3 linked regions of the Pelodiscus sinensis genome follow. The protein of the gene in region 3 purifies or fractionates together with the protein of the main gene of each other region. This does not show direct contact. Links are inferred from orthologs where the notes say so. Each region holds a gene or a part of one and is shown on either strand. Other genes may lie near its edges. The genes, in order: DAAM1, RAP1GDS1 and RHOC.

Region 1 (9,775 bases), on a different chromosome or scaffold from region 3:
GAAGCAAGAAGAAAACAAGCCTCAGATCAGTTTTAAAGTATCAAAGAATAAATGCTGTACTACCTTACCCCTACCCATCCTGTTTACTTCACTGGGGCCAGCACAGCGTCCAAGTTAGATACTAAAACTGGATGTATGCCTGGTTTGCAAAGGACCTCCTACAGTAACACAAGAGGAAGGGCTTGAGTCCATCCGCAAAAACCCAGGAGCTAAGTCCTGAGTGCTTTCAGCTGCCACTGAAGTCACACCTTAGAAGATCAAAGCCATAGTTAAATAATGAATAGAAAAGCTTAACATCGCTTGTACAATTTTGTCCCAGTAGAAGACAGCCAATTGCAAACAGAGCATACTCAGTGTAGGCACAATACCTACTCCTCTGAAATTGATTTAATCAAAACAAAAATATGGGAGATGGATGTTTGGCTTTAAAAAAAAAAAAAAAAAAAAGCAGACATAGTTCCTTCCTCTGATTGACAGGAAATTTGATCAGACTTTGGTAACAAATTGACATTGTGGGACTAATTTAATCCTCATGGAACTGACACATTCCATGCTTGCAGGAAGACAATTCACGTATCCCTTTAGCAGAGGCTCATTGTTATAAAGAAATGTAATTTGTAAGTTTCACTTGCAGAAAGTGGAAGGAGACATTTCTGGCTCAACAGTACAGTATGAAAAATCAGCATCTAGGGATATAGCATGCAGTATCAAAATGAATCTCTCAGGGATAAACTGGCAGAACAGGATAGCTCAGGCATCTGGATGGATCATGACTGGTTCAAGATTTGAGTTAGAAGATGTAACAACTATATATTTTTTTCTCCTCTTATGGGCAGTTAGGCCCAGTTATCATCATCTGGGTAATCCCCACCAACATCTACCCCTCTTTTTTCTCTTCTCTGTGTAGTATCTAGCCAAACAAGGAGATTGAGATTTGTTTGAACCAATGAATCTTTAACATCTCCAGAAAACTTCTGGCATTTTAACATCACTAGGAGATATTCTGAAGGCTCAAACTGACAAAGCACAGGAGTGGGAAGACACATTTCCTCTGGTACATTAAATTGTTAATATAATATTAGAGGGGAAGGGAGGAACAGAAGTTCCACTTTTTACCTTGTTATTTAAATTTGACAACATTCCCTATTATAAAAGCTGTAATATACAGTATTGGAAGACCAGTATTTTTGGGAAAAGGCTACAACTCTTACATGTTCATCTTTGGACACTGAGTATGAAACCTTTACTTCATTTGGATCTTATAAGCATTTTTCAGAGGTGTGGGGTATCCACGCATTTAGCATCTTTCAGAGACAAAACATAAAAAAGCCAACAAAGGTCAGGCCCTCATTATCAAATTAGTCACTGAAACATGGGAGCATCCAAACTGAATGGACACCATTGAAAACTGCAAGCTTGAGTGACTACGCCGGGTCACAGATCAAATCTGTGACAGATCCCTGCTCACCGGTCTTATGTTCAAACCACAGAACCATTCTCTGACACTGCAAAAGCAGCGAGGAGTCCTGTGGCACCTTATAGACTAACAGCTTATGCTCCAACACTTCAGTTAGTCTATAAGGTGCCACAGGACTCCTCGCCGCTTTTGCAGATTCAGACTAACAGCTCTGATATCTCTAACACTGGTGTGTTAAAACTGTTTGTAAACCCGAAGGGGGGGGGGGAGGAAGGACCCTCTTTTTGTTCTGTTTCTACAACAACTACAATAATGTGGTTATGCTCTATGACTGGGGCTTCTAGTTGTTATGGCAATACAAACAACAATAATTTTAGTATGTACTATAATCCACCACACACCAACATAGTGTGGAGTTAGACTGTAAAAATCCTCAAGAAAGGGACCTTTTCTTCTTCATTTTGTAGAGTGACATGTAGTCTTCCTTATACTTGTCCTCTAGTCTTCCTTATACTTGTCCTCATAACAATTACTCTGTTAGCAACAATATGCATCTCCAAGAAGGCCCCAACTACCAGCCAGACAACCAGAGACTTTGGAAAAGCACATGTGGAAAGCAAGTTTCTGAACTTGTGACTATACAAATCATATTTAAAAACCCACCACTCACACTCCTCTTGCCACACATCATCAGTGAGTGGATGCGATAGCAGGAGGATAGACAAACACCCTGGGGGATACTGTGCATGCTCCCCACATGTCTGCTCAGATGCCATTAGAGAAACAGAGCGCCATGGCATCCTCACTGCCCACAAAGGAGCAACCAAGGGGGAATAGTAAGAAGAAAGAGAATCAGCCAGGCAATTGGTTCTCAGCGCACTGATGGAGACTGCTGTGTACTCCCTCCACCCCACCTCATCTCAACTCATGACATGTCCAAGTGCAACAATGGCACACACTGTCCTTCTCCCCACTTTCCTAGCTCCTGTTCTCTCCTCTCCCAACTGTTCATTTTTACTCTCTGGTTCAGTGGCTTCTCTTCACCAGTTAGCAGAAGGCTGCCGGCTACAGGCAGGCGGGACACTGCTGGCTCCATAAGGGCCCCATCATAGATGCCCATGCAGTTGAGCCAAGGCCAGGACCTTTAAGTCCAAGGCTGCTTCACACACAGGCCAGAGCCTGTACAATGGGGAGGCACAGCCAAGTGCTCTGAGGTCCATTCCAGCCCACCCCTCACTTCCTCCCCACAGTGGGAAGTCTTCCCCTGGGTGAATGTGCAGAGCACTGGGCACACCCACGAGCCACACCCTCCCCAAAAGACAGAGCAGAGGAAATACTAGAGGCTCCAGAGGTAGGAGTCACCATAGCAACCTGACTCGTAGTGACCCCCCCCCCCCCACACACACACACCCCTTTGCTCTACCAGTCTCCCGCAGCAGCTCGCTGGGTTTTCCTACAGCTCCTCAGCCCAGAGCCCAGGTGCTTTTCCGCTCCCGGAGCAGAGGGCTCCGCGCCCCCCGGGTCACGGCTCATCTCCTGCCCCGACGAGCACCCAGGGGCGCGACCCCCTGGCCCGGGGAGCGGAAACCCAGCCGCAGTGTCAGTGTCACCCCCCCGGGGAAACCTCTGGCCTCTTCTCCGCCCAGCTGGCTCCCCGGGTGCAGCGGGCTGGGCCGTGCATTGCGGGGGGGGGGGGGGGTCCTAGCGAGAGGCAGCCACAGCCCCCCCCCGACCTCCGTCCGCGCGGAGGTCACACCCTGGGGCCCCAGGCGCCCCGCTGCCACCCAGCGCCCGAGCTCGGACCCCCGCCAGCTCCTGCCGCCCAGGTGCAGCCCGCCCGCCCCTCCACTGCCCCTTGGCCGGCCAGGCGCGGGCCGCTGCTCCGGGGGAGGAGGCAGCGCCCAAGCCGGAGCCGCGGGGAGCGTCTCTCGCCGCCGCCCCCCTTTGTTAGCCGGCCGGAGCAGCCCCCGCCGCTCGCCCAGCCCGGTCCCGGCACGCCCGGCTTGCAAGGGCTGAAGCTCGCCGGAGCCTCCTTTGCCCGGCGCCTGCTATCAGCCATTTTCCGCGCGGACCCGCCGCTGTCCCACCCGCAGCGGCCGGTCCGGCGCTTCCCCGGGCTCGGAGCGGGAGCCCGGCTCGGCTCGAAGCCCCACGCCCCGGGCTCGCCGAGCCCCGCCAGCCCCGGCGCTCCCCCGCCGCCGCCCGCTCTTACCTGCGGAGCCCGGGCATCCTCAGCAGCCAGCGGCGGCGCCCTGCCTGCACCAGCAGCTGCTCGGTCCCTGCCTCCCGGGCGCTCGCCAGCCCGCAGGTGACATCATCCCCGCTTGGCCTGATAGGATACCAGGTGGGCCGGAGTGCGCATGCGATGGGCGGGGCGCCCCAGCGCCCGCTGGGAGTTGTAGTGCGGCGCCGCCTTGCCTTGGCCAGGGCCGCGCTCCAGCGGAGACTACACTTCCCAAGCGCCCTCTCCCCCCCCCCATCCCCAGCCCCAGCTGGAATGCTTCCCCAGTGGGCACGCTGCGGAGAAGTGTGCCTGGCAGGGGGGCTGGGGCCGCTGCTGCAGTGGGGATGTCCCCTTTGTCATGCCGCAGCCCCTCCATAGGGTGGCCAGTTTTGGTTGGACGAATTCCTGGAGGTTTCGTCACATGCTCTAATCTCTAGTTAAAGATTTAATTCCTGGAGAGGCCAAGGGAAGCCTGGAAGGTTGGCAACTCATCCTCCGCCCCCCATCTGGCACAAATCTAGGGGAGAGTTTGCTGTGCACAGGGGGACATCACCCTATTGCTGTCCCCAGTCTTCCCCCTTCACATGCACCTAGCCAGCTGTGCCTTCTTGTTGCACAACAAATATCCCTGATTTTCCTCCAAATTACCGCTCCTTTTCTTCCACACACACTGCCCTCATTGACAGCATGCTGCTTCTGTTTGGCAGGGGCTGGAGAGGGCTACCCTGGAACCACTTGCTCTGTAGAGCGAGGATTTATACAAAAAAGTTCCCTGGCCAAGGCTTGGCAAACAATTGCGCCAGGGACAGATCAAAACGTGGTGAACACAGTTCACTGGGCTAATCAGCCACAATAACGGAGTCATTCACTAGAAATAACAGGGTGAAATCCACAGCCCCAGCAGTTTCTCATGCCAGAGACAGAGTTGTCAGCTGCTGTTGTAATAACTGCCTCCCTAATACCAGGCAACACTTCTTTGTTCAGTGCTCCTGCAGCTGGGCTTCTCTGTCTCCTCTAACTGCTAGAAACACCCCAGAAATTAGTATCACTTTTAACATGCATAATCCAGGAGACTAAAATTTTTCTCCTAAAAGCTGCATCACCCACTCCCCCAAAAAATCACCTGCACACAAATAACGTCAGACCCCTTTAACAAGCAATATTAAAACATTCTCAGAACAGCCATGTGCTTTTTGCATGGGAAACAGCCATGTGCTCTTTGCAGTCATGCTGGAAAGCCAGAATCTGCATTTAAAAATGTGTAGCCTCATTTCACAAATTGTATTCCTTATTGATGCATGTAGCGAATACACATTATATGTACAAATATTCAAAATATAATAAGTCATATGCACAAAGGCATAAACGTGCTAAGACCATTTTTAACCAGCACACAAGATATGGTACAACACCAGATTTATTATTTTTTATTTGTATTGCAGTAGTACCCAGAGTCCCTGTCGAAGGGCACAGCCTCATCTTGCTTGGCACCATTCTAATATGCAGTCAAAAGCCAATCACTGCACCAGAGGTCACAATTTAGGGCCCTGATCCTGCAAACACTTATGCATATATGTAACTTTATGCAGATGTGACGTGCCACTGCTTTTGGACCAGGGAGAGCTTAGGTTATGATTAAAGTGGATGGAACAATGGAAAGGAGGGGAAGGATGCATTAACAATAAAATCAGCCTAAAATCATACCTCAGGAGAACACAGTCCACCATCTCACCATGTTCAGTGGGGTAGCACTTTGTAGATGTCATGGCAAAAGTAGGTCTTAAGAAGGGATCTGAAGCAGGATTAGACAGCAACTTTATGGATCTTTCCAGGATTTTTTATTTTAATGAGGTCTGAGCCAGCAAGGGAAAACAAACAAAAAAACACCAAAATAAAATAAATCTGAGAATGAGTCCAATATTCCTTTTCACATGATAACATGGGATGTTCTATTAAACTGTGCTGTCAGCAGCATTGTGATGCAAGTTGTCATGTATACCCAAGATTAATACAGTACTTGAGCTACTTTTAATGTGACCCAAGAAAATTCTCCCAGCCTACACTATTCTCTGGTTGTCATTCTGTATTTTATAAATGATTCTTTTAAGAGATCCAACTTCAGTTAAGTGAGCACAGCAGTCCTGGACTGCTAGTATACAACTGGGACTCTAAAATAACCTCTTTGCACAAGATAAAGCTGTGGACAGTCGACCAGAGGATTAATTGTACATTTGGGAGCAAATTAAAATTCAATATAAAATTAATCATATGTAATATTTTTGTCTAAGAAAACACAAATTTGGGTGCAGGAGGCAAGTTTTCTTACATCTTCTCAGTACACAAAAGGTACAAAAGGCAAGAAGCGAATATATCCATTAGGATTGTATTTCATACTCAACCAGATGCATAATATATACATCCACAGAGGTATGAGGAAGACCCAGTGACAACACAGTAAAAGAAAAAGGAGGAACGTCCTTATGGGAGTTGACACGCACGGCATAGAACACAATGTAATATGAGAAGCACAGGTTGGAGTAAGTTATCCAGATTTTAACATTGTTCTCTTCTTTAGGACCAATATCTGCTTTGCATTCACACCCAAGACCCATAATGATATCACCAGAAGTACAATAATAGAGCTGTGGTCCATCTAATCTAGTCTTCTGTTTCCAGCACTAGTCAGTACCAGGTGCTTTGGCGCAAGGTACAAGTAATCCTTTGGAATGACATATCCACAACGGACATTTTTTTCAAGATGTTTGATGGATATTGGTGTGGGGAACTAGCTAGACCCCTTCCAGAGCCAAAAATACGCTCTGGCTTGCCATGCTACCGGACACCCTTTTTATATGTCCCACATTTTCCTCCAACTCTCCTTCCTCATCCACTACTTTGTCCTCAGGGTTGAGCCTGCTAGTTATTGCCTCCATCCCCCTGAAGTATCCACTGGGCTCCTGGCAGCGTGGGCACCATGGAAGATGGCATGAAGCTCCTCACAGAAGCAGTATAACTGTACACCCGAGTGGTGGTTGCCCTTCCTTGTCTTCTGTTACACTTGCCTCAGCAAAATTTCCCAGGCCTTTAAACAGCAAAGGGGGTGCATGCTTGTGTAGCTGCAGGGCAGCGGAGTTCAAACTGCTAACTCAAGCAGTCATGATGAGCATTGTGGGATGCCTCCTGGTGGCCAATTAGGGTGACACAGATGTAAGCAGGAACTGGGGGAATGTTTCCATCACATTTAGTTGGAAGGGGAGAGAGTCCCTGGATGAGTTTATGCAAATACAGTTTGCTCCTCCTTTGCTTAGATTTGCCAGCTATTCAACGGATGGAGTGGTATTTTGTTCCTTATAATACAACTTAATTTGTGACCCAACACGAGCTATGTCTGTATTAAATGCAGGGATAGCAGTTACCAATGTTTGTAATATTGTCAGAATACAGAAACGTAGGACTGTACTGCATTGTTCCAAAGGCAATGGCTCACAGTTATTAGAACTAAGCAGGGGCTTGACTTTTAGAGCTCTGCCAAAGAGAGGGGGTGAGGGAAAGTTATTCTGGTCAGGAGGCTGCATCTCCTCCCTTGCCTGGAGTTGTTTGACTTGTTCCCCCCACTGTTCAAAGAACCGAGTTAAACAGGCATTGTTAAGAGCTTCTTATTTATGTGAATTGCTTGGGCGTTGTGTTTCTTCTATCCTGCTGAGAGGTGAAAGTAAGTAGACGTGCCCTGGTGCGCAGCTCTGGCAAAAGTCCCGGGTTGCAATAGGACAGTGCCTGTAAGAAATTTTAAGTTACTTTCACCACTGATCCTGCCTGAAATCACTGGGAGCTGAAACCATTTGAGATTGATGGTCCGAAGTCACAGCCAAGAGGTGGATGGCAGCCAGCAGAGCGGCAGCAGAAAGATGCAGTAAGAGGCTAGGAAGGTGGTGGTGGTGGTGTGGACAATTGGTAGCAGCGTGGTGGTGGACAGATGCGATGAGCGTTCAGCAGGGCAGTGAAGCATTGCCTCTCAGAGGTGCACAGGGGTGATACAAGAATTTCCCAGGTTACTGGCTCAAGCCAGTTCTGCATAGGATGGATAGAGAGGAACCTCGAGATATTTAACCTGGCCCTACCTACTGCTGGCTCCACCTCACAGAAGGGTTACACAAGCAAGCACGCCATCTACAGTGACACTGCATCATTCTCTAAACTATGTTGCAAAAAGCTCTATGCTGCTCGACAATGTGGTTTTATTTTGCTGGGGTAGCAGGGGAGTTAAACTAGCGGGAAGAGCATCATGGTGGGTACACCTCCACTGTTTCGTCTGCAGAAGCTGACTTTTGTCAACAAAACAGTGTAGTGTAGACACAGCCTTTAAGTGTGACCTTATTTATTGATTTTACGCCTGACTAGATTGAGTCACTGTCTGCTGGAGAAAAGTCTCCCAATACGGGCTCACTAGACCCAATATATTTTCTGAATTAGACACATATAAGATCAATATTGCTCATTGACCTAGAGCATAGCTGTCATGTGGCTGCTGACATGAAATTGTGGTTAGTATATAAAAGGACACTGTCAGGGACTGTGCAGATCCAGCAATTGGTAACTGAATGAAGAACGGTCACATTTCTTTTGACTGTTTAGGTCTGCTTTTGGACGAGAAAATAGCAGCAGATTCTATGGCTGTAGATCTTTGCCCTGTCCCCCAACTGGTCGATTGAACAGAAAAATGGCCACTAGGCTTTATTTAATCCTTGCTTGGGCTAGGTTGCAGACTTGTCAGCAGCGGACACATCTAAACAAAGGCTCACATTTTTTTGTTTTCTGAAGGCCGGGCACCTTCTCCCGCTCCTCTGAAACTCACTGAAGGATTTTCATTAGCTTCCATTGGAATTGGGTCAGGCCTTCAACTGCAAGACGGTATGTTTTGTTCTGTCTTTCTGATACTAGGTGTGGAGGGATGTCTACTCCACCCAAGGCCTGGCTAAGTAAAAAGGGCCAATTCATGCTTAACAGGCTGCACCTGGGAAAGAGTCAAGGTTGATAAGGTCTAACATAACAGCTGATGATGCCCAGTTAGGCTCAGACAGACCTAAAGAGAGGGATATGAGGGGGTGAGTAATCACAGCAAGGCATGGCATGGCACTAAGAGGGGTAAACCAAAGTGCACTTCAGCAGGCACTTAACGTTAAGCATGTGAGATGCTCCCATTGAGATGCTGCCTGAGAATATGGACTGGCAAGAACCTGAGAGGAGGTGAAATAGCTACAGGGAGCAGAGGAAATTTTAGTGATAACCTGGGAGGCAGAAGATAGAGAAGGTAGAAAGGAATCCAGGGAACTAGCAACAAGGCCTGGGAACTGGAGTTGACTGTGGTTGCTGAACATCAGGTCCTTCAGCTATAACCCAGGCTATGTCTACACTACGGAGTTTTTCCGGGATACCAGCGGTATCCCAGAAAAACTCCGCCACATCCAGGGAACACGTCTGCTCTTCCGAAATTTTTTTCAGAAGAGCAGACGCGCTCTTTCGGAACCCCTGTAAACCTCGTTTCACGAGGAAGAAGGGCTCTTCCGAAAGTGGAGATTTTTCCGAAATTTGGCCCAGTGTAGACAAGCCATATTTCGGAAAAGCCTGTTCCGAAAAAAGAATCGGAAAAAGGCACGCAAATTGCAGAGCGCAATTTGCGAACCTTTTTCTGAAAAAGAAGTGTAGTGTAGAGACAGCCCCAGAGTACTACATGGGCCCCAGTGCCCCTACCAGCCACTGGGGAAGGGGCAGGGGAAGGGCAGAGGATTGGAAAACAGCTTGATTTGGTTTGTTCAGTGGCACTTTGATACCTGGGAGAGGAAACCTGTGACCTGAGTTGGGGCCAAGCCAAGAAGAGGCAGTATTATGAGCCCAGACTGAGAGAGAGAGAGAGAGAGAGAGAGAGAGAGACACGTCAAACATCCCAAGAAGGGGGTGTCAGACCAGTGAAGAACTAATCCCCAGGTGAACCACAAGTTGATGTCCCAGCAGTGAGCCGCATACCCTGTTACACAAGGCTTGTATAATATATTTTGGCAACTGGAATCCTCCTGTGAAAACAAACCCTATCCTAAGCAATGACTCCAATCTCTCCACAGGATTCAAATGAACTACAG
Region 2 (10,300 bases), on a different chromosome or scaffold from region 3:
TATAACATTGTTCTTTCTAATGTAAGCAGGGTCAGGGTAAGCTCTACTTTGACATCTGGTGGTGAACTGTGGCGAGTGGTGCAAAGGGACTTCAGGGGCTGATCTCATTTGCATAGATACACCCAATTTGCATAGATACACCCATCCCATCTAGAATGTGCTCACAGCAGCCCAAATGGTCACTTTGGCCACTGTGGGTTCCCCAGTCTCTCTGTTATTGAGGCAGGGGGGATAAAAGTGTTTTACCCTGATTATGTGAATCAAGGACAATGGAATGATGGAACTGTTTATGACAGAGGGATTCACCATAAACTAAGTAGCACTCGCTAGACAAGGGGCATGGGTTCCAAACCCAGTCAGATATTGGGGGGGGGGGGGGGGGTTGGGCGGTCTTTGTACCTGGTGGTAAGGGCCTAAACAACACCAATCACACTTCCTTCTCTTTCCACTGTGGAATATCAGAACTAATTTGGATTCCATTAGGAGTCTAGTTGTGAGCTGCAAAGTTGACTTCACTGTAGAGCACTAGCACTGAGGTTTCTCTATTATGAGCTGAACTTGCTGGAGAGTTGAAATCACTGTTGCTGAGGGGAGCCTGGTGTTATGTTGCGGAAGATCTGAAATCACTGTTGCTGTGGGGAGCCTGGTGCTATGCTGCTGAGCTACTAGCAGAGCAGTTTGCAGGGACAACCAACAAGCACAGGTGGACAGCAGAGCGGTTTGCGGGCACGACCAGCAGGTGCAGGCGGACAGCAGAGCAGCTGGTGGGGACGACCTGTGGCCGGTAGGAGCGGCAGCAGCCAGCCAGTGGAGCAGCTGCAAGAGCAACCAGCTGGCGGCCAGGGGCGTGGACCGAGACGGCTGGCAGAGCCAGACAGTTCGTGGGACAGCTGAGGCGGCTCACTGGACGACAGGTGGAGTGTGGTGGAGTGACTCGCGTTGATGGTGGCGGCAGAACCTTACGGAGAGGCAGAGCCATCGGCGGACCACGTAAGGTGTGTCAATCCCCACCCCTCCAGGTTGGGATGGTAAAACTCAGCCAGGTGAACTTTTGAACCCTGGGGCAGCACTGACCCGGGGCAGAGACTTTTGGGGTGTTGGACTTTGGGTGATTTTTTTGGGTTGCTGGACTTAAGAGACTCTTTGGGTGTTGGACTTTTGGGACTTTGGGTGATTTGGGGCTGGGAGAAGGGTCTCTGCTCATGTTTGGTCTATGAATCTGAGTTGTGGTGTTTTCCCAAGTTAATGCTGATGTTGGTTACCTCATGTTATTAAAGGTTTGCTGCTATACTGAGGCTCTGTGCTTGCGAGAGGGGAAGAACTGCCTCTTTGAGGCGCCCAGAGATGTATGTAAGATTTCCCAGGTCACTAGGTGGGGACTTGAGCTGGTGTTGTATTACCTTGTTGGGATGAGACCCCTAGATACTGAACCCAGCCCTCGCTGCTATTAATTCGGCCTGGCAAAAGGGTTACACTAATATCTATCATTAGCCCCAATAAAAACATAATACATTGCTTCTCTTTCCCAGTTCTCCCAAATACTGTACTTGTTTTTAATTATCTTTAATGACATGACCATTTCATTAATTTTAATGAAATTCACACAGGCTTTCCCAGTCATCTTAATACATCATATTTCATAGTGCTAACCTGTTATAGGATACAATGCACAATTGTCTTTCATACAAACTGCATCCCACAAAGCTTCTTAAATAACGAGAGCCAGAGGCTCCCTAAAGTTAGGATATAGTTACAAAGTCCAAGTAAAAAAATATTACTGAAAGATACGGAAATGAATAATCAAAGACAAGGAAGGAAAGATATATTCTAGAAGAAATCTGAAAATTGGAGAAGATTGATGGAGCAGAAGAATACAGAAACCTTTTGCTTCTAGGATAATTTATGAATATCTGTGTTATATCAGCTGTCAAATTATGCAAATTGCAGATAAACAAATATCAAGTTGCTATTTAAATAATGTGCAGATTCAAAGCCCTAGGAAAAAAAATTACAAAACCCATGAATTGCATGTGCAATTTTTTAAATGATTTTTTCCTACATTTTACTAAAAAGATGATGGTATAGATTCTCCTTATCCCCTGGTCATGTATAAATACACAACATCAACATAATTGGATGTACACATAGACCTGTATCTATTCCCAGTAAAGTCAATAGCAAAAGTGCATTTACTTCAATGGAAGCAGGTTCTAGTGAATCATAGAATCCCAGGGCTGGAAGAAACCTCAGGAGGTCATTGAGTCCAGTTCCCTGCCCAAAGCAGAACCAATTCCAACTAAATTATCCCAGCCAGGACTTCGTCAAGCTGGGACTTAAAAACCACTAGGATGGAGATTCAACCACCTCATCCAGGTCACTAATAAAGATGTTGAATAAAACAATTCCTAGAACCGATCGTTGAGGCACTCCGCTAGAAACCGACTGCCACCCTGACATTGAGCCGTTGATCACTACCCATTGGGCCCGACAGTCTATCCAACTTTTTATCCATCTTACTATCTGTTTATCCAATCCATACTGCCTTAACTTGCTGGCAAGAATATTGTGGGAGACCGTATCAAAAGCTTTGCTAAAGTATCATAAGGTTACAATGATTTAAATCAACAAACTGTATTGGTCTGTATCCCACAATCCTCTGTAACCAATAAAGTAATTTGTTAATAAAAAGGAACAAACAGGAGGGTGGAACAGATGCTAGATAGAAGCACTACTGGTATTGTGCAGGGGTAATTTGCAGTTGCTGTAATGTGAGGTTACTGCTGGTCCTATTTTTTTCTTGACTTATTCATATGAGTTGTCCCATTGCTTCCAATTAAACTACACATACAACTAAGACAAGTAGAACTGGCCCTGCAAAGCACCTATTATTCATATTCTGTGTTACTATTCTTAGGTAGTTATTCTGGCAAGGTGCCTGTTAATGTGGAAGACTGGAAAAAATAAAGTACTCAGTGAAGCTCACCTACAAAAATAATGGTTCCAGAAGAAAAGTTGCAGACATAGTATTAAGTCCTTATGAGTAAATATTTTCCTGTCATTCCATATCCAGTTTTACAGAGACCAAATATTCTGGGGAAAACACCACCACCAATTCAATAATACTTCATGCTTCGAGTATTTCATGAGAAAATGCTATGTTTCATACATATCTTTTTGTTTAGAAAAATTTACATTTCAGTTTTAATATTTATGGTTTAGACTACACAAAGCATTTGGTTTTATCTATTTGAGGAAAATTTGTCATATATTTTGCCTTTCTTCCATTTTAGAAAGGGACATTGATTCTTTTGACCACAAAGTTCACCTTAAAATCTGATCTGATACTTTATTCCCCTCCCTCCATTTCTCTTTTTGTAAAGGGCATCTTTATTTGTAAATTGTTTCTATTAAAGAAAATGAGAGAAAATCAAGTTGTTGCTTACTGTTCAAAATCACTCCATCTACCTTTTCATAAGTGTGACATTTTGTTCAAATCCAATATGACACACAGTATGGCTTTTGGGATACACCTTTACCACTGCTTTCTGCTCTCACAGCTAACAGGCAAAAGTAAAAGTATTTAAAGATTACTTTAAATCGTTCCATCTACTGATCACATTCTGGATACAAGTATTTTTAGTGTTTACTTCTTCTTTATGACAAAAAATCACATCAGAAAACCTCAGCCATAGCAAAACAAGTTCACATTTGTGCAAGATTTAGGACTGCTGTGCAACAGTGAACATTCTTAATTTTCCAATAGCTTTTTGTTGAGTCTGACATTTTAAAGTCAAAAAACAAAACACAAAATAATTTACTGTTTGTTCTCCTTTATGAGGTATGATAGCCGAATAAGTACTTTTGGGAGGCAGAAGTTGGCTTTTTTGTTTCTTTAACTCATGTCTTCCTTACATCTTTTTCCTAGAAGACTCTGGGAAAATGAGAGAGCTGGAAATGAGAGAGCTGTTTCACGCAGTGATTCCAAGTCCTCAAAAAACAGTTCTGTCCTCCAGTTTAAAAAATAAGTAAGTCACATCATGATACTGTAGTTTAAATTTTCCTTTTGATCACAATGGTGCAATGAATCCCACTGACATCAGGATTGTATCATTTTAATTGAGAAGAAAATTTTGCTGTTTTTTAGCAGAAAAGAAGCTACTACAGAGTTCAAATTACTATAAACATTAAAAACAAAAACAAATAAAAGCCCACTATCAAGAGGTCAGTTTATTATATATATTAAAAACTAACAAACATAACCCCACTATGAAAAGGTCAATTTATTCTAAATATTACAAACAATAACAAAAAAAACCAGGTGCTTTCTTTTTTGTGATATCTGTACAAATAAGATTGTAAATTCTGTGGGTGGAGACTTTAATAAAATCTTGTATCTGTGAAGTATTATGCACATCTTGGACATTTTCTAGTAAGGTTTTATACTGTTACCCATCACTGAAATATGTGAATGTCTTCCATTTAAAATCAATAGCAATACTGAAAACCTGATTAGAATGTATGATGTCTCTGAGTCATCTCCTTTTTTGGGGGATCTGCTTGGGGGTATGGTTTTTGTTTAGATTTTTTTAAAGAAACAATTAAATTCCTCTTTTGAATGTTTTGATTAGCAGATGTTTAGGAATCAAAGAGATGGAAGTGCTGTGAGTGTCATTCTTGTGGCTGAGAGTCTATTTTTAAAGAGGAAATAATTTATTCTTCTATCATTACTTTGAAAATGAAAAATGGGATCAGACAGCATGTGTTGAACATGCTTTTCCTTGCCAGCATAGACCTAGATATGTTAAAATCACTTTAGGTCCATTTACTAGGTTGGTTTCCAACTGTGGCCTTGTCTTCAGTGGAAAACTAGCCATTATCCTGAAGCCATTTTTTACAAAAGAGTTTCACAAAATCCTGCAAAACCCCAACAAAGAGGTTGTGTTAGCCAGTGCTAGTTCATGTCGAGATGGGTGATGGAGAACTTTTTTTTTTAAATGATACTCTGGAGTATTATTTAACCAGACGCTGTTTACAAGGGTGGAATATGAATCCAATGTATAGGTCTTTACAAAACAGATGCAATTACCTGGCTAGATGGGCATGTCTCTGCATAGCTACCTCTTTCAATGCAAGCTCTAAACATGACAGAGGATAGCATATCCAAATGTAAAATGTAAATCTCCTTCCCTCATTTTCTCTGGCTGCCTTAACATGTCTGTTAGCATGTTCTGCAAATGATAAAACAACGACGAAAGAAGAACCCTCGTTTATACGAAATGACAATTGCTCTAATTCTGCTCCGGGAGGCTATGGGGGGAGGAAGGCTGCACAGGATCTGGGCTGCGCGGGCTGTAAAGCCCTTGGCATCGTATCGATCTGGACAGCTGAGTTTGTCTGCAAAGCCTCCGGCGCCCTATGGCTTTCTAGCCAGGGCGTCTGGATCCCCAAGGGCAGCCCGCGGGTGGGCAGGGCACGGAGAGGCCCGCTGTTCCGCACGCCCTGCAGGCAGCCCGCGGGGGAGAGGCCACGCGCGGAGGGGAGGCACCTCACTCCAAGCGGCTACTTTTCCGCCACCTCGCTAGCGCTGCTACTGTGCGTCTCTGCGGCTGCCTCCGCAGCTCCTCCTCCCGGGGCTCTGGGTGTCGCTGGGCCGGGTGTCTCCAGAGGAGGGCCTTGCCCGGATGTACTACACTGACTCATAATCCAATCGACACAGGCAGCGAGACACACACACTCGCTGCGCTGAGCTGCGCCCGCTTCACTCTCCGCCTCCCGTCCCCGACAGCAGCGGCAGGGCTGGCCGGGCCCCGGAACGCGCGCAGCCCTCCCCCTGCCGCCGCCTGCCCAGGGGCTGCTCCTGCCGCCGGCCGGCCGGCTCGCTGCCGCAGCCGCCCCGCCCCAGGACCCTGCTGCTCCCGCCTGTCCCCCCCCGGCCGCTGGACTGAGGCGCAGGCGGCAGCTGCCCCTAGCAGGACCCAGAGAGCGGCTCCCCTCCCGGCAGGAGCATGGGTAAGTCGCCTTCCTTCAGCCCCCCCAAAGTTATGCCCTATGCGCCCTGTGCTGCAGCACCCGGGAGGCGGGAGGGCCTGGGCCCCGTGATGCCCAAGCAAGTCCGCGGCTCCTCTTCCCATCCCCCTTCCCCGCTCCCTGGCTTCCGTGCGGCTCCCTGTTTTGCATCCTCTCCCCCGTCGCACTGCTCCTGTTTCTCCCAAGGCCGGCCCCTTCCTCCCCCTCCCTCTGTGGCGGGCCGGTGGGAGGAGGAGGAGGTGGAGGAAGACGACTTCATGCAACTTCCTCAGCCGCTCTGGTGTTTCCCCTGGCGGCCGAGGAGGCTCAGGGTGCAGTTTGCTTTGGCAAGGGCTGTGCATGCTCGGCAGGGAATGCGGGGACTGGGATGGGGAGCCATCTCCACCCAGCCTGGGGGTGAACCAGGCGAGTGAAAACACACCAGTCCCTGCAGGAGGCAGCGACTTGCTCCATGCTGGACTAGCGGGGGGTTTACAGGGTGTGTTTTTCCTGGGCTGAGCTCCGTCTTTTGATCACTTCAGGGATAGAGAAAGGGGTGAGGTAGCAGGAAGCTGAAAATAGTCAGGGCACCTTATTTCTGAACTTAAATCAGCGGGTTTCCTTCTGTTCTGAAATGACAGTGCAAAGTTTCTGCAGGCTCGTGTGATACTGCCAGTTCAACCGTCCTGCTGGCCTTAGGTAGGCTGAATGTCAATTTTAATAAAGGCAATGCACTCAAATATAAGTTGCCTTACAGTTTATGGATACAGATTTCTTAGGTGGAAATCAAATTCTCTAAGTATCAAAAGGAGATTTGGAGCAAGTAGTCAAATAGTTCATTCAACAGACTGAGTTTCGCCTCTTCTGTTTGTGTCCTAGACAGCTGGATAATACATTACATAGACTACTTATGTTCCAGTCTTACCTCTGGTGTTCCTCTGCATGGAACCACAAAGATCTTCATTTTTACCCTGCCCCATGATTTTTAAATCACCACGTGTCTTGTGAAGAACTGCAGTCATGTTATCTGGCTGTTAATTCCAAAATCTTATTTGCTAATGGAGACCTCCAAAACAAACACACAATGAGCTAGAAAGGAGTGCTTTCTTATAGCCCAATGGTATGAGTGCTGAGGACACTATAATATACCTCATTGGGTTTCATCAGGAATTAAAGACAAAGCATCTCTCCCATAGAGGCAATGATAGTGCACTCTAATAGTTTAAATGCAGGCTAAGAAGTCAGCAATTCCTGAAGTCATAATCCTAGATCTGACACTTACTTCTGCTGCTGCCTTAGATGAGTAACTGGTTTCTTTTGAGCCCATATACATCTTTTTGCCATTTAGTAAATGAAGATTTCCATAGATAGTAACAAACTCTATATTTTAGTTTCCTTGTCTGTAAAACAAGGATATTGCTTACCGGCCTTTCAGGGCAGTTGTGAAGATTGTCACTTTTATAAAGTGTTTGGAGGAAGAAACCCTCAGAAGCAGGTACTGAACTTTTTCTTGGACATTGTGATAGGGTTCTAGAAGTCTCCCATTTAGTTGAGATGAAAGGACAACTCCTTGACAACTAACTAGGAGATATTTAAGGACACTGGTCATTCCTACTTTTGTGATCAATGTCATAATCAAATTGCTAGTACAGAATGAATGCTGCATTGTACTCTACAAAAGGTTCCATTCCAGTGGTGGGTGAGTTTGTAAATTGCTCATGAAATCTTTCTAGCCAAAATTATTACATTAGCAGAGATAAGATGACTAGGAGGGTTTCCATTCAGTGTCTGTCAAGGATGCTCCTTAATTGTCCAATGCTTGTCTGTATTTCCGCAGTGTTGATTTCCCGGTAAATCAATCTCCCCGGGTTCAATTTAGGGGCTCTAGTACATAAATCAATCACTGATGGCGCCCCCATCGACTCTGGTACTCTACGGAATCTTAAGGAGTAAGGGGCGTTGACGAGAGACAATCTCCCACAGTGGAGATGCCATGGAAACTGGACCTAAGGTATGTCGACTCCAGCTACCCTATCATATAGCTGGAGTTGTGTATCTTAGGTCAACTTTTTTCTTTAGTGTAGACCTGACCTGTCCAGAGAGATTACTGTTGACTAATACAAGAAATGCCCTGCTCTTATTTTTCCCCATCCCTGCACGCATCTGGACCGTATTCTTCTGCCATTTAGGCCAGTGGCCAACTTATAACCTCCTCTGTAGCAGCTCTTGTTGTTCTGAAGAGCCAGTGACCACAAACAGAATCTTCCCACAGCCAGCTAGAGGTTTTCTGTTAATTTTTTTTAATAGCAAACATGACAACTTTGAATGTTTAGAGTCTCTTGATTTTGTGAGCTTAATCATTGTAGTTGCTGTCCCTGCTCAGCTCCAGCATGCTCTCCTACTTTTATTTGTGCAATGCATAACTATTGGAAAGCCTCAGAAAGTAAGTATTGAGGATGAATTTTTGCAACACTAAAAATATCTTCTTCAAGCTGCTATTAACTTGGTAAATCATACTTAAAAATCAAGTATTTGCGGCAAAGAGAACTCAGAGTGTTTCATGATTTAACATACTGAATATTCTACACTTAATAAGCAGGTCAGAATCGGATTAGTAGATTTATCCACTAATGATGTAAAATGGAAGCCTTGGAAAACATTCATATTCCAATCAAAAAATTTGTGCCATTAAAGAGATTCAAATGAACACGTGAGGCTGTAGGAGCTCTGCTGTTAAAATGCCTTTCTTGTCACTGAGGCACCAACAAATTATTTCTCTGTAATCATTCTTCTGGCAATGATTTGCTTCTGTAGGATTGAACTTTTTCCTATCATACTTGCCCTTTGCAAATTGTGCTTTTGTCCTTTGAATTTATATTTAAAAGTATTAATTCAAGCATTACTTTAAAAATGGTTGATTTTTAGTCTTAAACATTCCTTTTGCATGTTGCTAGATTTTTTTTTAACTGTTCTTGGAAATACAGCATTTTGAGCACTTCGGATGACACTCACGGCTGTTGTTTTCTGTACCTTTTCTAATGAAGATTACTTGTGCATTTTTACAATAGTACCTCTTGGTTGGTATTTTGTATCCAGCTGCTTAAAGATTAATCTCTTTATTTTACTTCCTGCAGCATAACTTTATGTTTTATCAATCTTGCAATGATACTGTGTCCTAAAAGACTTCACTATAAAATTATATGACATTTTGGATGATGGATTCAATTCATTCTTATTATGTATATTAATTTCTACCTGCAGATTAAACTTTATGGATTTAAGAGGGAGTCTGCATCTAAGTTTCTTTATGTCTTTCTACAGCACTCAAAACAATAGCTTCTGTGTGCCTCTTAAAAACGCCCACCTAAAACATCAATTCTGTCTAGATGGCTGTCTTATTTAAAGTATAGCCCTTTAATCTGTTCTCCTTTTGTTACTGACTCAAATCCAATCCAAAGAGAAACCTGAGTGAATAGAGATTTACATTGCCCATTTGAGGGCCCAGTTCTTTCCTACAGAGTCTGTACTCACCATTCAGTCTATGTGTTTCCTTGCAAAGTGTACAAAATGCTAAATATGCTCAGGGAGTGTCAGGATTTGTGTCAGCCGGGTGTTGATGGTGTTGAGCTATCACGTACAAACTCTGGATTGTAGATGGCACACTTTGGCAAAGATATAGTCCCCGTTTTCAGAAGATTGCTTTTGTGCATGCTTCCTTCTGTTCACCTTTTAGAAGGAGCGGAAGTGTGTTTCAGCAGGAGAGGCTGAATGCAGTGTGACTTTGGTGAAGAAAGGTTGAATGGGATTAATTTATTTTTCAAAAAAAAGATGTGTAGAGTGGCAGGAGGATGGAATTAAGTTGAAATAATCTTCCATTCTGAAAAGGTTCTTTTTGCTACTCCTCTCAATACTGTGCAGGCTATAGGGGAGAGTGGAAGACTGCTCTGGTGATAATGGGTATTGCCAAACTGGGAAAGTAAAATGTACTGCAATCATAGTAGAACTAAGAGGGTTATCTTATCAGCCAACTTCTTCTGCAGCTGTCCTGGATTGAATTCCATGGTTTGTCCACTGTCAGATGATAATATGATCAGTATCTTCTCCTTCCCTAAAACAGTTATTTTACATTAATATTTTAGATAAGTGGTCATAATTCACCACTAATCATCTTTACTGAAGGAAGACTGAAAACTATAATAGTAAGTCTTTCACTTGTAAATAGTGTTCCCAGGCTAGACTCAAATACTCTGAGAATTAGAAGTTAAAAATCCTCAAGTCTTAGTTATTCTGCTTC
Region 3 (10,043 bases):
AGAAGGGAGTGCAAGGAAGTGTCTCACCGCACACCCAAGCACACATCGACTCCACTTCTAGACGTGGCCACGTGCACACACAAGAGGGATGCCACAAAAGCACACAAGTCCGAGTGCACAGCAGAGGGCAGGACCTACCTGGGATGTGATTCACTCAGAACTGGGCACACTGTCCGTTCTGGAAGTGCCAACCCCTAAAACCGGAAGTGGATAAGTAGAAATAAATAAGCAAGAGCTGCTGGAGAAAGCCACTGACAAATTTAAATGACAAACTCTTCTTCGAGAGCCCCCTAATCAGCACTATTGGTTTCTCATATTCCCGAGGCGCAATCCAACACCATCACATCATTGCAACCCGCAAACACATATCTCTTGAGAACGACAGAAATATCAAGCAAGACAAGACAACCTTGCCTGAGCTGGCTAAATGTATTTGGTCAGACAAGATGGCAAAAGGCACACACACAGGCACATGCCCAAATAAAATCCCTTAGAATTGCTTGAGTCACAAGAGGAAATAGAACCCTTCAAGAAGTTACAGAATGGTCCTAGCAAGTAATGCATTTTTCTGACACAGGGCTGTCAAAAGAAAAAGGAAATTTCCCCAGTCAAGCTTAAAAAGCACCCATCATGAGAAAGAATGTTCACATAGCTACCTAAATATGACCCAACATCATATTGTACTCACATGCTGCACGTATGACCATTCTGAAAAAAACTACAGGAAAAAAAAGAAAGTTCTCAAACTGGCTCAAAAGAGAAACAGGCAACACCTTCCAGTGACACACATCAGAAACCAAAGACTATTTTTTGTCTTCCGTTTCTGGAGCCATCCCTGTTTTCAGATATCTGACCAAAGTGGCATGTTTTGGCAAAGCAATTGACCACAATTTCACATCTATACAGGCTGTAGGCAGCACAGTCTGGGTTCTACACAAAGCCAAGAGCTCAAGCCTACAACTCTTACTCATGCAAATAATCATTACTCACAATTAACACAGGAGACCCATGACTACAAGCATGAGCCTCACATATGAACAATCCAACTCCCACACAAACTTGCATTGTGCCCACAACCTTCCCCAGAAGCACTTGTATTCCTTTACCTAATCATCTCGAGGGGCATGCTGGGTCTCAGACAGATGCAGGTACCTTTTCTTTATAACTTATGAACGCCTCCATTCTGGCCCTCCAGGCCCCAAACACGCATGGCCACTTGCAGGGTGTTATTAGAATAAACCTATCTCTTAAAGGAGCTTCATCTCAAAACTGAAGTTTACATTTAAAGATCCTACAAATCCTCATACTAGAAATAAATATGTAATGAAACCAAGTGAATTGGATTTAACCCTTTCCTTTGCAAGGCTTGTAGCATGCTTCATGAAAAAGAGAAAGTGAAATGGTCTAGAAACCAACTATAAACAGAAGTGAAACTGATGCCTTTGCTTTCTGTCTCAGCTCAGTAACAAACAGTCAGGTGGCAACAGGTATCAATAAATCACATATGCATTCAGCATGTCCCTCACCTACTACTGAGCACTGATTAAAGTGCAGAGCTACAATCCTGAAGAGATATTTTGTGTCACAATACACAAATACAAAAGCTAACTTTTATCGTTGCTAAGCCAGACTCCTTTGAGTCAAGGATCTGACTCAAGAACTTTTAAGCAAAAGGTGCAGCAACCAAACTGTAAGGAAGGCTCCTGTCATCCTAATCCCAATTAGTTAACTGGTCAAATGGGAAATTTAACTGGTTAACCAAATAAACGGGGCTGGCAGGCCTCCTACCTCATGCACAGGGCTGGAGCAGCCCCCACTGGTTAACTGTAAGCGCATGGGCAAGATTTACTGATTAACCAGCTAGCTGCTCACATCCCTACTAGGATCTGAAGACGGCTTTCTTTCTTCCATTTTTTCTGACTCCATCTGGAGTCAGCATGACTTGTGTCCCCTGGTCCAAGACTTGCCCTCATGTCTTTTCCCCAAAGGCAACACCCACTGTGCATTTCACCTGTTGTATGGACGTGCTTATGAAGCAGCTTGCCAATTAGAAGGCTCTTCATTAAACAAATGGCAGAGCAAGAGCTCCTTGTAAAATAAATTAATTCTCAGCAGCATCCAGGAATCAGGTGCCTGCTGAGCAGGATCTCATGTGATGCAGGAACCCTGAAAGACCAGATTTTGGCTTTCTATGCAGTACCACCTTTCCTGCTCTGTGCATCCCCATGCGTGACACAGCAGTGCGTTGGATTCCTGCTGGCTCACCTGGCTGCCATTTTACACTTGGCACGCACACAACGGTTTGTTTATAACATTGTGTTGGGAGGGATGCTGGGCAGGACGCGAGGATTATTCCCTGCTCTGAGAAGTGCTGCAAGATCGTAACTTCCGTGGCTGTAAGTCACGTCTGAGTTCAGCTGACGGCAGCTGTACTTGTGGAAGTTTATGTTCCACGGCATTGCTTTTCAAGTGAGGCAAACAACTGCTCAACATCCAGAGCCAGCTGATGTCACTGCAGTGCATCTCAGTCTTCCAGGAGAGGAGTCTTACAGGAAACCTTCTTACAACCCACCACGCTTTAGAGTCTACAGACACCTTAACCAGTGATCCTTGTAAGCAGTGTGCTTGTGCGGTCACCCAGGAGGGATTCAAATGCCCCCCACTCATAAGCGGAGCACCCACAGCCAGGTCTCTGATTCTACTGGTGGTGCACATACACACATGCCCCAGTGCACATAGAAAAAGTTATTTCGCATATGGATGGAAAAAATCTGCACGTGGATGGGAAAAAATTAGGGGGAGGGGGGAGAACAACACAGACCTTAACTCCCCCTCCACATTAAGGTTTCTAAGGCAGCATAGGTTTCTTATTCTTCAATAAGAATGTGTAGTACGTGATATATCAAATCCCAATAATACATCACAGCCTCAGGAACAGTTTCTACCTGTTTAGTTTTGTACTGCTATCGCGTTGGGCCAATCAATATTTGTCTAATACATTCCTTACATTTCATGGCATTCCATGCCAAACAGAAGATTACAATGTGGTTTTGTTTACACAAACTTCTGATAACCTCTTGGAAGTGGGTCACATAACTCTGTGCTTTTTCCATTTTGATAGAACCTCTGCAAGCAAATAACTTCTACTAGATCTAGGACTCCACTTTAAAACCCCTAGCTCTCACATGTAGCTATAAGGAAAATTATGGGAGGCCAGCAGACACTTGGCACAGAGACAATAAAGCGTGACTGAAAGTGGAATATAAGTGGGAACACATAACTGAAGCCCTTAAATAGTTTATTGCCTGTAACACAATTTAAACCTTTTCACAATTTGCATAAAAGGTGACATTTTCTTTATCTGTGACCCAGTTTAGTTTCCATCAGCTTGAGGTCTCAGCACACAACATGTTTCCCAGTCAGACTGCACACTCTAAACTGATTCACAACTTCTTACTGTTTTACGCTCCCGTTGTCAGGAGGCCAAGGCTGGATTCAAGGGGCTTGGCTGCCAGACGGTTAGGGCTGGAGAAAGCAGCGCAGTCATGGTTTTGGAATGCTTCTGTACTCCAAAGCCATTACAAAGCTCCTAACACACATGTTTAAAGGCTACCTACAGGAAGCAAGGAGCACAGGCTTCGAGGAGATGGACATGCTGTTTGTTAGCACTAGGAAACAGCACCTAGGACATGAAAATGCACCCCAGGAGCGTGCTCCCACACAGAAAAGCCAAGTGTGTGTGTGGGGGGGGGGGAGGAGATGGGGAAGACCACCACCATTTCAGCCTGCTTAGTTCAAGCAAACTTCTGTCGCTTGGGGGCATGCCACAGTTGAGCGCGACCAGGGAGCCCAAGCAGTGGGCACTGGCTGATTAACAAGTGGATTGTACCCACCACAGCAAACGCCCGTTAGTCTCTAAGGTGCCGCAGGACTGTTGGTTGTGCTGGACCTACAGACAGACAGGGACGCGGAGATTCCTGCTCTGCACCCCGGCAGCTCCCCAGGCAGGGGAAGTAGCTGTGCTGAACAAGAGCTGGCCAGGGAAAGGCTCCCTGGGATGTTTGCTCAGCTCAGCTGCCTGGTCTCCCTCCCCACCCCACCAGCTGAGCACACACTCCAGGGGAGGACGGGCACACCTAGCACAGCCTCTCCTGCCCACCTGCCCCGCATCAGTGGCTGTGCTGAGACAGAGCTGGGCCCCCCTGCAGCACGGGGGGGGGGGCGGCTCCCGGCCCGGGAGAAGGGGGGTAAGAGCCCCTCCCCCAATAAGAGTAGGAGACAGAAGGGCTGCCCCCCCCCCCGCTTGTACAACCTGTGACCCCCAGAACAGCCCTGCCACCCCCACACCCCGAACTCCCAGAGCCCAGCCCGGCTCCCCCCCGCAACCCCTCCGGCCCCAGCGCCCCCCTCACCCCACAGCCCCCTCAGGCACCGGGTACCCGCACACAGAGCCCCCCCCGCTCCCCACAGCCCCGCCCCGCGGTACCTGGGGCGCTGGCTCCGGCTGCTCGGGCTCCGCGGCGAGCGGCACTTAGCCGGGCAGGGCGGGGCCGGCCGGGACCGCCCCCCCGCCGGGTACTGCGGGGCGGGGCCGCCCGGGGATACGGGCAGCGGGCGTCACAGAGGGGGGAGGGGCCCGCAGGGTGCTGGCGGGGGCAGAGGGGGGGCACAGGGTGGGGGTGACAGAGGAGGGGGGGCTCGCAGGGTGCTGGCGGGGGCACAGGGTGGGGTACAGGGTGGGGGTGACAGAGAAGGGGGGCTTGCAGGGTGCTGGCCGGGTACGGGGGGCACAGGGTGGGGTACAGGGTGGGGGTGACAGAGGAGGAGGAGCTCGCAGGGTGCTGGCGGGGGCACAGGGGGGGCACAGGGTGGGGGTGACAGAGGAGGGGGGCTCACAGGGTGCTGGCGGGGGCAGAGGGTGGGGTATGGGGTGGGGGTGACAGAGGAGGGGGGCTCGCAGGGTGCTGGCGGGGGCAGAGGGTGGGGTACGGGGTGGGGGTGACAGAGGAGGGGGGGCTCGCAGGGTGCTGGCGGAGGCACAGGGTGGGGTACAGGGTGGGAGTGACAGAGGAGGGGGGCTCACAGGGTGCTGGCGGGGGCACAGGGTGGGGTACGGGGTGGGGGTGACAGAGGAGGAGGAGCTCACAGGGTGCTGGCGGGGGGAGCTGGGAGACTGGGCACAAGCCGGGGAGGGGGAGGGGAAGGGGGAGGAAAGAGCAGTGGCTGCAGGAAGAACTCCCCAAGACACTCACACCCCGGGGCCCACTCTGGCCGCCTCCCCTGCATTTAGCTGGGAGGCTGGAGAAGAGCTACCTGTGGCTCAAAGCTCCACTCTCACCAACAGAAGTGGTCCAGTAAAACATATCACACCCATCTTGCCCATCTAATATTTTATCATTTATATCGCAGTGCACCCAGACACATCTGCCTTGTGCTAAAGCCCTAGTCAATGACAATGCTTGTCCTAAATGCCTTGCGTAGCCACAGTTGAAATAGCTTAATTTGTCTTTTGGCGCGGTCTACACAGCAGGAAGTCAAAGGAAGAGCACTCCTTCTTCGACTTCCCTTTCTCCTCGTGAAGTGAGGGTTACAGGAGTCAGAGTAAGAAGTCCTCCAGCTCGACATTATGTCAAAACAATGGCTTGCTGTGTAGACGCGCACTATGTTATTCCAAAATAACGCTGTTGTGTAGACATACTCTAACATGCCACAGGATTACTCGTTGCGTTTATAGTAGCCAGGCTGTATAGCATGGCCGGTAGCCAGCTGTACCTAGTAGTCCATCTCATATCTATCACGTGACAGCATGACACAGGCTATCTGATTCCATGTATCTAACACGGGGCGGGGAACCTTTTTTGGGTTGGGGGCCACTGAAAAACCAGTTGGGGGCTGCACACAAGCAAAAACCAACCAACCCCTCACGGACATGGCCCCTGACTGAGAAAGAGAAAGAGGCTTCCCACATTCCCCTCGCATAGCAGAGTCTAGACTAATAGATTTGGTGTGCTCCAGCCTTATGGGGGGACGGCCAGAGGGCTGGAGCACCAGCATGCAATAATCCCAGAATATGTGCCCTCCAGGGAGCGCTGAGCCTTGGGGGCCGGATCCAGACAAGCCAGGGGCCACATAGGGCCCCTGAGTCTTAGGTTCCCCAGCCTGATCTAAGAGCTCATCCCTTCTGCATGGCTAGTGGCGAGACTATCTTGTGTCTCAGAGCTAGTCTGCTGTGGCCAATTGCCAGTGGACTTCAGATTTAAGGCTTCAGTGAAATAGGAGCACAAAAAAGCGTGTCACATTTATCACTCACACACAGTCAGCCATGTGAAGCTCTCTCTCTCTCTCTCTCTCTCTCTCTCTCTCTCACACACACACACACACACACACACACACACACACATTCCTGCAGCTGTGTGACACGCAAGGAGTGTCACTTATGAACATAAATAAGAACCCCAAAGCAGGAATCAGGAAACAGGATCTGGCTCTGCCGGCGATGGCACTTCCTGTCTTTACAGCCATCCACCGCAGCAAAAAGAGGAGAAAGCTCTTTGTTTATTTCAGAGGGTAGACGTTTTGTGCGGCATCACACAGTAAGGAACTGGAAGAAGAGGGGGCAGAAGGTGATGTAAGCCCCCGCAAAGCGGATACAGCACAGACTGAACCTGGCTGGTCCTCCTGACCCGTCACTTCATCTGTCAGCAGGCCGGTGTCTCAGGGGAGAGGAAGAATTCTTATTGATTCAAAGAAAGGATTAGACTTCCACTGTAGGGAATAAGAAGAGTGTTCTCTAATACAGTCAGTAGAGCTATCAATGCTCAGGGCAGAAGCTGGTCTCCAGCTGGTGACGTGCAGCTGCAATGGAACAGCGTTCCAGGAGTGATCAGCTGTTTTGGTCCTTGCTGGGGTCAGGATAGGAGACTGGCTGGATCATTGGTCTCTTAAGAACGGCCACACTGGGACAGACTAAAGGTCCATGTAGCCCAGAATTCTGTCTTCAGACAGTGCCTAGCACCAGGTGCCCCAGAGGGAGTGAACACAACAGGTAAGCATCAAGTAATCCCTCTCCTGTCACCCATTTCCAACTTCTGGCAAACAGAGGCCAGAGACACTATTCCTACCCATCCTGGCTAATAGCCTCCATGAATTTATCTAGCTCTTTCTTGAAACTTGTTAAAGCCCTGGCCTTCATAACAACATCCTCTGGCAAGGAGTTCCACAGGTTGACAGTGCAAGATGTGAAGAGCTCAATAGGAAAAGGGACAACCTAATGGTGGTACACTGACTGAAGCACTGAACTGGGAATCAAGTACTGGGCATTATTCTAACCTCAGCCTTCTGCTCTCACCACTCTGTGCCTCAATTTCTCCATCTGTAAAATTATGGCAATGATGCTTACACACCTTTGTCACCTACCGTGCGCATGCTAGGTGAAAAACCTCCTACCAACGCAAAGCTCTAGATTGATTCTATTGTGGTTGTGATGATAGCAGATTCCAGGGCTGGTGTGGACTAGAGTCTGCTGTTGCACTGGGCGTTACTGAGAGCAAAGCCGGCGGAACCATTTCCAGCGGTGACAAGGAGCCGAGGAAAACACCACGGGGATGTTTCTGTTATCTCTGCCTCCTCACCACTTACGGACCCACTCCCAGCATTCTCAGCATGTTTCTGCCGGACGGGTCCAGGAATAGCTGGAGGTGTGTCACCCAACCCCTTCCACCAGACACGGTTAGCAGCACTTTCCTCCTGAAACACAGGGAACTTGCACCATCCCACCATGCATCCCGGCCTGTCTCACCTCTCCTCCTTGACCACCATGATCCACAGCAAGGCTTAGAGGACACGCCGAAGGGGGCCCTGCAAATACCGAGCAAAAGTTGGCCCCTCCCCTGAAGAGCCGACAGCCTAAACAGGCTGGGCAGGCATGGGGCAGAGGAGAAACCACTGATGCATGGCCACAAAGCAGGTCAGTGGCAGAGCTGGGAACAGGCACCTGACCCCTTGGTCTGTCGCCCTGTCTGCCAGACGGCACCAGGAGTGCCACGGTTTGCTAAAATCTGTATCGCAGGCCAACCATCCCTCCACCTCACCGCCTGCCCGATGAGCTTCTTTGCCCCCTGCGAGCTGCCCACCTCTTACTTCAACCCCAGCTCTGTTGTGCCTACTGACACTTACCATCTTGCCCCACTGTCACCCGCCTGTCGCTCCCCCAACCTCCATTCCTTCTGGACTCACCCCGGGCCTGGATCGATCTGCCCAGTGATAAACAGGTGCCAGAGCCCCCGTCAGGAGCAGGGCCCCCTCGTGCAGGTGTGACACAGGTACAGAGTAGCAGGCTGCGGCGGACCTCACAATCCAACGCCAGAGCCAATGGCCAACAAGGAGGGAACAAGCAATGCAGGGAGGGAAGTGGCCGTGGGTAACACACGCGCACAAGCCTGTTGTTAGATCTTCTGCTTCGTCCCGCACCCAGCAGCCTGGCTCAGCGGTGTTTTCCCGTCAAACAGGGATTTGCCAGGGAAGGAAGGGGAAGGCGAAGCATAACCAGTATCCCGCTTGGAAATCCCCCTGCTAGCTGTGAATCAGCAAGGAGGGAAAGCCAGCTCTGGGACCTGGCTCAGACCGACCAGGATCTATTTCAGAGGGGGGGTTGGCCTCAGAGGGACATTTTTTCTTAATTTACCGAGTTTCAGATTTGGAACTGGCTCCAAAGGAAACATTTCCCTGCACCGAAAGGGAACAGAAAAGGACAATTTAAATACAGCTCCTCTCAGACTTCCTTTCTTTTGTACAGCCCTCAGCCTGGGCTCCAGGAAAGCAAATGCCCCTTCTTCTCGTCAGCAGCTAGCAGCTAACGCACCTTCCCCTGCAAGCAAGGAGAGTACGCGTGTCAGAGAGTGTGCTTGTCAGAGAGCACTTGTGTGTCAGAGCGTGTCAGAGTGTGTGCGTGTCAGAGAGCACTTGTGTGTCAGAGCATGTGTCAAGTGTGTGTGTCAGAGAGCATGTGCATGTTAGTGTCAGTGTGTGTGTGCATCTGAACTTGTGCATGTCAGAGAGCGCGTGCATCCGAGTGCACGTTAGAATGTGTGCATGTCAGAGAGCGCGTCAGAGAGCACGTGTGTCAGAGTGTGTGCGTGTCAGAGAGTGTGTGCACACGCCTGCTAACACTGGAGACAGGAGAGGGAGAAAGTGCAAGCAGGAGTCACAGAAAGGAACTGAAGAGAGAGGACTCCAGCAGCCCCCCAGATCTATACCGGCCCCTGCAATGACTCACACTTCCCAGCATGAGGCTTCTACGCCTTCCTGCCCCTCCCGAGGAGCACCAACACTGCTGGGAAGAGGGAGTCCTGCTCCCAGGACTGTGGTCCGAGATCACCTTGGGCCCTCTGCAAACTGGCACAGAGAAGCCCTTGTGTGGCCAGTGAAAAGGACACCCTGCCTAAACCATTTGCACCCAAAGGCTTTTGGGAATTGGGTGCCCAAACACCAGGCACCATCCAGGTGGTATGTCCACACACCACCCCTTCAGGCTTCCTTCACCGTGCTGGGAGGGGCAATCTTAAACCCCAATTCTCCCCACCCCTGGCAGCTCCTGCTGACCCTTGGTCTGCACCTCCAGCGTCTCCTCTTCAAGCCAAAAGCCGGGCTTCCCAGCTCGGCCACCTGCAGATCAGCCCCAGCAGGCAGTACTTCCCGGTGCCCCTTGCTCCTTTTTGGCACCCAAACCCAGATAGCGGCCACATTTTGACACAACAAAAGTTGCAACCAACGCCCAGTTTTGGTGGCAAAAAACTTCCCCCTCCACATGAGACTTTTCTCTCTCTCCCTTTATTGGACAGTCACATATGCAGTGGGCACTGTGCAGCAGGCTTTCGGTTGAGTTGATTGACCTTCGGCATGTCTCCCGCAATGCCCCATTAGCCACTCTGTGGAGTGGTCCTCATGGTGACTTCTCAGGGAAACAGGGCGCTCTCCAGCTTGGAGCAATGCAGAGCTTTTGTGTGTGTGTGTGTGTGTAATGCAATCACAGCTGTGAGTGGTCT

What was found.
Region 1: the proteins of RHOC (region 3) and DAAM1 purify together in Homo sapiens (affinity purification with mass spectrometry; 3 studies listed by BioGRID and IntAct, counting the BioPlex papers as one, with this or other methods). This does not show direct contact. The link is inferred for Pelodiscus sinensis from reciprocal best matches to the Homo sapiens genes RHOC and DAAM1.
Region 2: the proteins of RHOC (region 3) and RAP1GDS1 purify together in Homo sapiens (co-immunoprecipitation; 3 studies listed by BioGRID and IntAct, counting the BioPlex papers as one, with this or other methods). This does not show direct contact. The link is inferred for Pelodiscus sinensis from reciprocal best matches to the Homo sapiens genes RHOC and RAP1GDS1.

What each region holds. Positions count from the first base shown.
Region 1 is NC_134714.1:12,055,736-12,065,510, reverse strand, and holds the start of DAAM1 (disheveled-associated activator of morphogenesis 1), read right to left. Parts: upstream 3,772-9,775; 5' UTR 3,630-3,771; intron 1-3,629. UniProt on the Homo sapiens protein: Binds to disheveled (Dvl) and Rho, and mediates Wnt-induced Dvl-Rho complex formation. May play a role as a scaffolding protein to recruit Rho-GDP and Rho-GEF, thereby enhancing Rho-GTP formation. Can direct nucleation and elongation of new actin filaments.
Region 2 is NC_134715.1:22,177,125-22,187,424, forward strand, and holds the start of RAP1GDS1 (rap1 GTPase-GDP dissociation stimulator 1), read left to right. Parts: upstream 1-5,592; 5' UTR 5,593-6,005; coding exon 6,006-6,009; intron 6,010-10,300. UniProt on the Homo sapiens protein: Acts as a GEF (guanine nucleotide exchange factor) for the Rho family of small GTP-binding proteins (G proteins) that stimulates the dissociation of GDP to enable subsequent binding of GTP.
Region 3 is NC_134737.1:2,006,636-2,016,678, reverse strand, and holds the start of RHOC (rho-related GTP-binding protein RhoC), read right to left. Parts: upstream 4,563-10,043; 5' UTR 4,487-4,562; intron 195-4,486; exon of another isoform or gene 139-194; intron 1-138. UniProt on the Homo sapiens protein: Regulates a signal transduction pathway linking plasma membrane receptors to the assembly of focal adhesions and actin stress fibers.